Linked DNA regions of Oryzias latipes. Each later gene encodes a partner of the first gene's protein in a complex. Links are inferred from orthologs where the notes say so. Each region holds a gene or a part of one and is shown on either strand. Other genes may lie near its edges.

Region 1 (3,756 bases):
AAAACTGATCAGTCCATCATTCCAGTCCTTTAGCAAAGACATGTGACCATACAGTGTTCTAGAATGTTCTCATAATTTGGATTATTTTGATTTGGAAAAACAACAGCGGGTCTGAGCTTTAGGAAAACTAAAATGTGATTTGTTTACTTGTACACAAAATGAACCAATATTGATTTTGAATCATTTCAATGCCCACAAATTATTTTATGAATCAGATTGTTGTTCAAATAAATCATTACACCCTATAAACCAAGGAAGTCACATCAGCATCACTTGTTTGTACTAACTTTGTGTCCCAGTTTTGTTTTAAAGAGCGAATGTTCCAGGTCCAGGACCCCCTACTACTGGCTCCTCTGCATGGGGCAGTGAGAGGGAAAAAACTGCAGTTCATCTGACAAAACATGGAAACCTATAAATAAAATGGTTTGTTTTCGATCCAAGATGAACTCTGATTTAACTTCAGAAAACTAAAATGCAATAAGGATGGGGGTGTGACGATAACATCACCACATCACCGCGGTGATGACCTCATCATAGCACTTTTATTTTTATTTTTTTTAAGTTCTGCATATGGTGCGTGATTGGAACTTTAATAAACACATTGAACACATGCATCTTTGCGGATAATTTACTTTTCTGCTAGTCCTGTTTTGACCGCGACACCGCGCCCCCTGCTGGTTCATCACCGCGGTGATCAAAAATCCCACACCGTCACAGCTCTAAATAAGGATGGAAACTTGGTCACACAGGCACAGTTTTGTCTTATTTTTGGGTGTGTACCACTCCGAGTGAATAGCTTATAGCTACCGGCAGTTTCTTCTACATAATCACTACATGGACTCCAGAACAGCCCGTTTGGCTGCTAGATGCTAACATCGCTGAAAATAGGCCTGTCTATTTTTCTGCTACAGAAGTTCACCGCTCACCTGCAGCAGCTCAGTGTACCGCTCTGGGTCCTTCTCCATGAGAACTCTTATCTGGCTGTTGTAGTGTTCAGAAATACTCTCCTCCACGGCCACAGTGCAGGCCATAGCTCCTTCCTTTCCCAACAGCGCAGTAGAGGCCCCTTAAGGATTAAACATGGGTCACATACATGTCCAAAGCATCGTTGTAAATGTTGTAAACTGGATTTCTATAAAACGGAGCATTATTCTGTCATTTCTTCATCTGAAACATGCATGCTTATGGACTCTACTGACCTAATACAAACCCCGCAATGTTCCAGAAAGGCAGCAGTGCTGTGGGACGAACTCTGTTCTCTGAAAGAATTTCATTGAATTTTGCCAAGTGCTTCTTTTCTTGATCCCACATTTGCTAAAGAAAAACAGACAGCAAAAAGGATACAGCTGAAAGAATGCGTGAGCAGATGTTTTTTTTTTTTAATCTTTTGACATTTTTTAAATGTCAGAAAAACAAACCCAGCTTTATGAAGAGACTTAAAAGGGCCAATATCATGCTTTTCTTAAGCCTTTCAGAGTAAACTATATTCACATATATGATAATATAGATAATATCATGAAATATCAGTTATTTAAGACAACTCGATCTCTGAGGCTCTGAGGTTTATACTTTATACGTCCAAAAACGTGCTTCATAGGTTGAGTGGTTACCCTGCATTGTCCCTACATGTGCGAGTGTGTGTGGAAGTGATTGTGTGGCCCTGCAACAGACTGGCGACCTGTCCAGTGGGTCACCCAACAGTGACCCCAAAAGAGATACAGTGGTTCAAGATAATGGTTGGTTGGATAGACGTGCTCTCCAACTGCATATCTGAGGTATTGATGACTTCCATATCTGAACTTCTGATGAAGATTATTTTGGGATATGGAGAACAACTTAGATAACACTGAGCGTTTCCACAGCTCTGCTGTAACGCAGGTCTGCTGTTAGAATGGGAAATCTTCAGTCAAGGGCTTCTGCAGCCAAGATCCCTCTGCCCAGCAGTCTTCAAGTGTTTGTCTCACATAATTCAGGGTAAACTTTTTTAAAAGGTTCATTTTAAGTTTAATAGAATTTATATATTTATTTCTGATTTAGATCAATTGTTTTTGGAATTTCTCTGGGGTTGTACTGCGTATTTGAGGTGGATTGACATTTAATTAAACAAACCACGTGTTCATCTTTGATGTCCCCGCCCCCTCCCGTTCAAACGTGTCTCGTGCCGTGAGTGTTCGATACCTGGATGAGAGGTCCGATCTTTGAACGGCCCAACACTGCCATCTGGCCCGCGTAAATGCGGTTCGCACCAAATTCCCCAGCATGGTCCACGCGCAAGATGCGGTGGACCATTTCCTTCTCCTCCTTGTCGCGAGGCGTTGGAACAACGCTATAGGCGCGCGCGCCGAACTGCAGGGACGCTGATTAAAAAAATAATAACAAAATAAAAGTCATAACCTGTTACAATTCACAGCTGCAGTACTAGGGCAACAATGGGCGTCAAACAGTGGGGAGACTCTGGACCAAAGGAACCAGAATCGTATTAACTAACAGTTCTGTTTGTGTAAAACGTGGCATAGACAACCATAACACCGACGTTATATGTATGCAGAACACATCATTAAGTGAGTCAAAGTTACTTAAGTCAAAGTTACATCATTAGCACGTTACATGTTTTTAGCATGTTAGCATAAGCATCAATCCCTTACCTCCACATTTCTGCTGAAACGTTGCGGGACAGAGAAGCCGGCGGGAGCAGTTTGAAAGTGTCCTCTGCGTAATCTTCTGCATGCTAGTTTTTAAATGTTTCAACTACCTGCGCTATAAGTTAAAGAAAAGAAAAGAAAAAACTTACGAAATTAAGCGTGTAGGATGACATTGAGCGTCGCAAGACGGGCACGTGACTGGTGTCTATGACGTCATCGCGCTCTGAGCCATCCCCCCTTGTTCTTCTTCCTTTGTAGTTTGATGGCGGAAGGCATACCGCGTAAAGGCGCGTTACCGCCACCTACAGGTGTGGAATGCGGGTCACAATGGGTTTATTATGGATTATTACAATAATTATTAACGCATTTGTTAATTACCTTGACACATACGCACCGTCACACGGTATCCACACAACTACTTACAAGTATTAAGTACAAATTAACAGGAATTATAGAGGACTTAAGTCACAAATCACACCAACTGGTATTTTCTTGTGCACACAGACAGGTACACATAGGATTTGCAAAAACATCCATCTTACCTGTGTTAGTGCAAAGTGAATGACCAGGTCAGTTGGACAGTGTCTCCTGAAATGACAGTGTTTCCTGAAATGAAGTTGAAGAAATTGAATGATCCAGAGAAGGCAGGGAGCCTTTTTTAGAATAAATGTTAATGTAATATAAATCTCTTAGCTAATTTATTTTTTTCGTACCCTTACTTCCTAATTTCATCTAATTCTTCGATTTCTTTATCCTTCTTTTTTTTTTTTTTTTTGCTTTACCTTTTTCCTCCTCCTAGGCTTCCTAGGGAGGTGTGAGGTGTAAAGAGGGAAGTCTTACCATGGTTGTAGACTGGATAAAGATAGTTTGTCTCTTGAAGTGCAGACATTTTAAACTTTTTAACAAGTTTAGTGATTAAACTTTCACTAATGAAGCATGTAGGTGGGAATGTGAGTGTTCATGGGTGTTTGATTTGGGTGACCCTGCGACAGAATGGCGACTTGTCAGGGATGTTCCCTGCCTTCGCCCACAAGTTGCCAGGATAGGCTCCAGCAGAAAAGCCAGAAAAGGACAAAAGGGTTTAGAAGATGGATGAGTAATAAAACATCCAGCA
Region 2 (3,432 bases), on another chromosome or scaffold:
TTTACCTGAAGTTTTGCCACTTATATCCTCTTCCCATGTACTAGCAAACAGACTGGAACATTCCTGTCATTTATTTCATTTCCCCAGAAATGTTCATGAAAACTATAAATGGCACATGAAGCCAGCTGCTGCATTTGAAACCACACTAACAGGAACACATGTTCACACCTGTCAGCTGGCATTCAGTCATGAGTTTAGACCTCACGTAATGCTCTACTCCTGACTGCAGTTATGTGCAGCACGCGACCTCTTCTGTTTTACTTCCCCCAAAATATTTCCTTTGGCGGTGATGCTTGGAAAAACCTAAAGGAATTGTTGAAATTCCTGGAAAGTATTTCAACTTTGCAGTGACAGCATAGAACACCATGATAAGTGGTACAAATGACTCAATCCTGTAGAAATCGGACATTTCAAGGCAGCAATTACATTTTTTTAAATTTATGTTGTATTATTTCGGTTTTCATGTGCCGCTCTGCAAACTCAGACATGGTTGCAGTCCTTGGAGAAACCACAGGTCACCTCGCTCTCGTCAGCCTCAGGGACAGAATGAGAAATGACCCTGAAGGCCTCACGATCCTAACGTAAGTCCCTCTTATCTCAGTCTTTCAAAGTTTAAAGATATCTTCCTGTTGAGTGAACAGGCATGGATTATGTCCTGATGTGATCTGAAATGATTCTCCAGAGAAAGACCACGGATTCGTCTCTCCACTCTAGACCTGAAAAACATGGCCTCCTTACCCGACGGGTCTTTCGGAAGAGAATATCTCCGTTTTCTGGAGGACAATGTGAGCGATGGCCTTGGCGTCAAACACTGTGTTGATGCTTCTCTTGTTACGTCTTGGCTTCATGTTTTGCTTTCATCTGTACCGTTTCCATCACAGAGCGTGACCCCAGACTCCAGAACACAGGTGAGGTTTGTGGACGATGAAGAGTTGGCCTACGTCATGCTAAGATACAGAGAGGTTCATGACTTGATGCACACGTTGCTGGGAATGCCCACGAATATGCTGGGTGAGTCTGCTCTGCAAAAAAACATGTCATGAGACGATGAAGATCTACAACACCTTTTTAGTTGCATTTCATTTTTAGAAAGCGGATAACTGATTATTAGTCAGCTAGATTCATGTGATTGAGCACAGATTTGCTCACTTCTGTTTTCCTCCATAAATTTCACATAAATTGATGCGCTTGGCAAAGCAGGACTTATTATATTTGTTGCTTACTGATTCCTCTTTCGTATGTTTCTTTCATTATAGGTGAGGTGGTAGTGAAATGGTTTGAAGCGGCACAGACGGGTCTTCCGATGTGTGCTTTGGGAGCTGTGTTGGGCCCACTTCGACTTAATGCAAGGTATCTATACAGCATTGGACCATGCCATCATATCCCATCCAACTGTATTGTAAGCACTTTAAAAACAACTTCATTGTGTCCAGACCGCCACAAAACGACATGAAAACCAGACCAAACCAAATCAAACATAGGACAAATAAAATGCAAGAATTTATGACAAAATGAGATCAAATTAATAAAATGCCCATTTAAAAGCTAAATAAAAGACTTGGGTTACAGGAGAAGACCTGAAAGCAGAAAGATAAGGTTTTTTCTGATCCAGAGTAACTTTTATTGTGGGAGTTAAACAGTCAGTCTGATAAGAGCAGCTGACCTCAGGGGGGGAGCAGGAACACTAAAAGAGTAGCAGCTCTGTGAGGTAAGTACGGTAGTTGCCTAACCATTTATTGATTTAAAAGTGAATAAAATAAGCCCATAACTACTGGGCAGCCAGTGGAATGACGCTAAAATAGAAAAAAACCTATTCTTGCTTTTGTGTGCTAGTTAAAAAACGTGCATGTACTTGCACTTTGTACCAAATGCAGTAAATATCTATGACCTCAGTTGGAAAGTCCAATGTTTGCACAACAAAATGCGTTTTGCCTTTTCATACAGACTAAGAGTCAGTTTGATCTGCATCGGTCATTTTAACACTTTAAGATTTAAGACATGTCGACACAGCAACAAATTCATTTATTTTTAATGCTAATAAAGGATTTCAAATCTTTTGATGTCAACATATCAAACGAAGTAATATAAATTTTTTAAATTGTTATTGAGGGCAGTTGTAAGTGACAGAGATGTCCCAGCATCCTTTGCATTGTCGAGAATAATGCAAACCTGATGAAAAAAAAATGTAATTGAATAAAGTTTTCTAATTTTTTGGCTACAGATCCTTCTTTTTCCAAATGTTCATCATAGTAAGAGGAAGTTAGTTTTATTTTACCTGTAAATCATTACGTTTTCCTCAGTTACAATAGGAGTGTCCCTGATAAACTGGTTATGTTGTGGAAACAAACTCACTGTTGGTTTTAACTGCCATGTCAGGACTAAGCTGTATTTCCTGCTTTTCATTTGTTTATTTTTTACTTTCCAGGCGTCTACAATCACTGTTCACCTCTTTGGGTCCTTGGGCTTTGCGGAACGGGAGGAGAGGCCGTTGTGTCCTCAGCATTTTCTACGAGAGACGATGGGATCAGAACCTTGAGGATCTCCGGCAGGAGCTCCACATTGAGCCTCCTCCTGCCACGCTCCACCCATCAAGGAAGACCTGAAATAACTTAGGGAAATGGGGGCTGACATTTAAAGATAGCATAGAGGAACGTTAGTGGCTACTGATCGGAAATAGTTTGAGTATGTTGCCGTGGGAGTTTTTTTTATAAGGATGTAATTAATTGGAGAGGAAGTACGGTAGGAAACTCTAGTCTTTGCTAATTCTGGCTTGTTCCAGCTCAAGCCCTAGTTTGTCCCCATAACCTTTGATCTGGTGAATCACCAACTGTGAATCATGTCAGTATAATGCATCATGTGGTTTAAATAAAATATGATAAATTATTTAAAAGGTGCCCTTCTTTTTCTCATTTGCAGGTGAAAACCACCTACAATCTTAATGTGATGCAATCTAAATGAACTAATTAAGTTGGAGTGAAACCAAATGAAACCCAAATGCAGTATACAAATGTGTAATTTGACTAGAATAGCACTGATAGTTGGGTAAATGTTTTTCTCTTCAAAAGAACAAGTCTAGGCTCAAACGTTTCCATATTTTTCTGGCTTCATATTTCATTGAGAAATGACAATATCTATTACATTCATGAAGGGTTTTGTACACTAAAGGTAACATTTTAAATATCTCAAAGCTTGACAAATGAACTACAGAATTAGAATTATCGATGTGTTGGGAACAGGTCTCGCTATGACAGTGTTCAAGTACCAAAATATTTGAACTCAGAAACTACAGATTTTAATAAGGATTAGTCTTTGAATTATGTTTTTATATAGCAATATTTCATTTGGCTTTGCTTTCACATTAGATGGACTTCCTGACACATCCATCCCTTTTGTAAACCCACTTACTCGCTTTTTGGTTCATAGAGCTGCTGG

Evidence for each region. The genes of interacting proteins can lie anywhere in the genome.
Region 2: coq7 (region 1) and coq4 share a complex: the UniProt entries of both Homo sapiens proteins name them as parts of the multi-subunit COQ enzyme complex. The link is inferred for Oryzias latipes from reciprocal best matches to the Homo sapiens genes COQ7 and COQ4.

The regions. Positions count from the first base shown.
Region 1 is NC_019859.2:30,577,053-30,580,808, forward strand, and holds the start of coq7 (5-demethoxyubiquinone hydroxylase, mitochondrial), read right to left. Parts: upstream 2,865-3,756; 5' UTR 2,816-2,864; coding exon of another isoform or gene 2,792-2,815; 5' UTR 2,728-2,791; coding exon 2,646-2,727; intron 2,358-2,645; coding exon 2,179-2,357; intron 1,315-2,178; coding exon 1,200-1,314; intron 1,067-1,199; coding exon 927-1,066; intron 1-926. UniProt on the Homo sapiens protein: Catalyzes the hydroxylation of the 5-methoxy-2-methyl-3-(all-trans-polyprenyl)benzoquinone at the C6 position and participates in the biosynthesis of ubiquinone.
Region 2 is NC_019870.2:12,291,786-12,295,217, forward strand, and holds the end of coq4 (ubiquinone biosynthesis protein COQ4 homolog, mitochondrial), read left to right. Parts: intron 1-484; coding exon 485-581; intron 582-682; coding exon 683-785; intron 786-881; coding exon 882-1,011; intron 1,012-1,256; coding exon 1,257-1,350; intron 1,351-2,425; coding exon 2,426-2,603; 3' UTR 2,604-2,890; downstream 2,891-3,432. UniProt on the Homo sapiens protein: Lyase that catalyzes the C1-decarboxylation of 4-hydroxy-3-methoxy-5-(all-trans-decaprenyl)benzoic acid into 2-methoxy-6-(all-trans-decaprenyl)phenol during ubiquinone biosynthesis.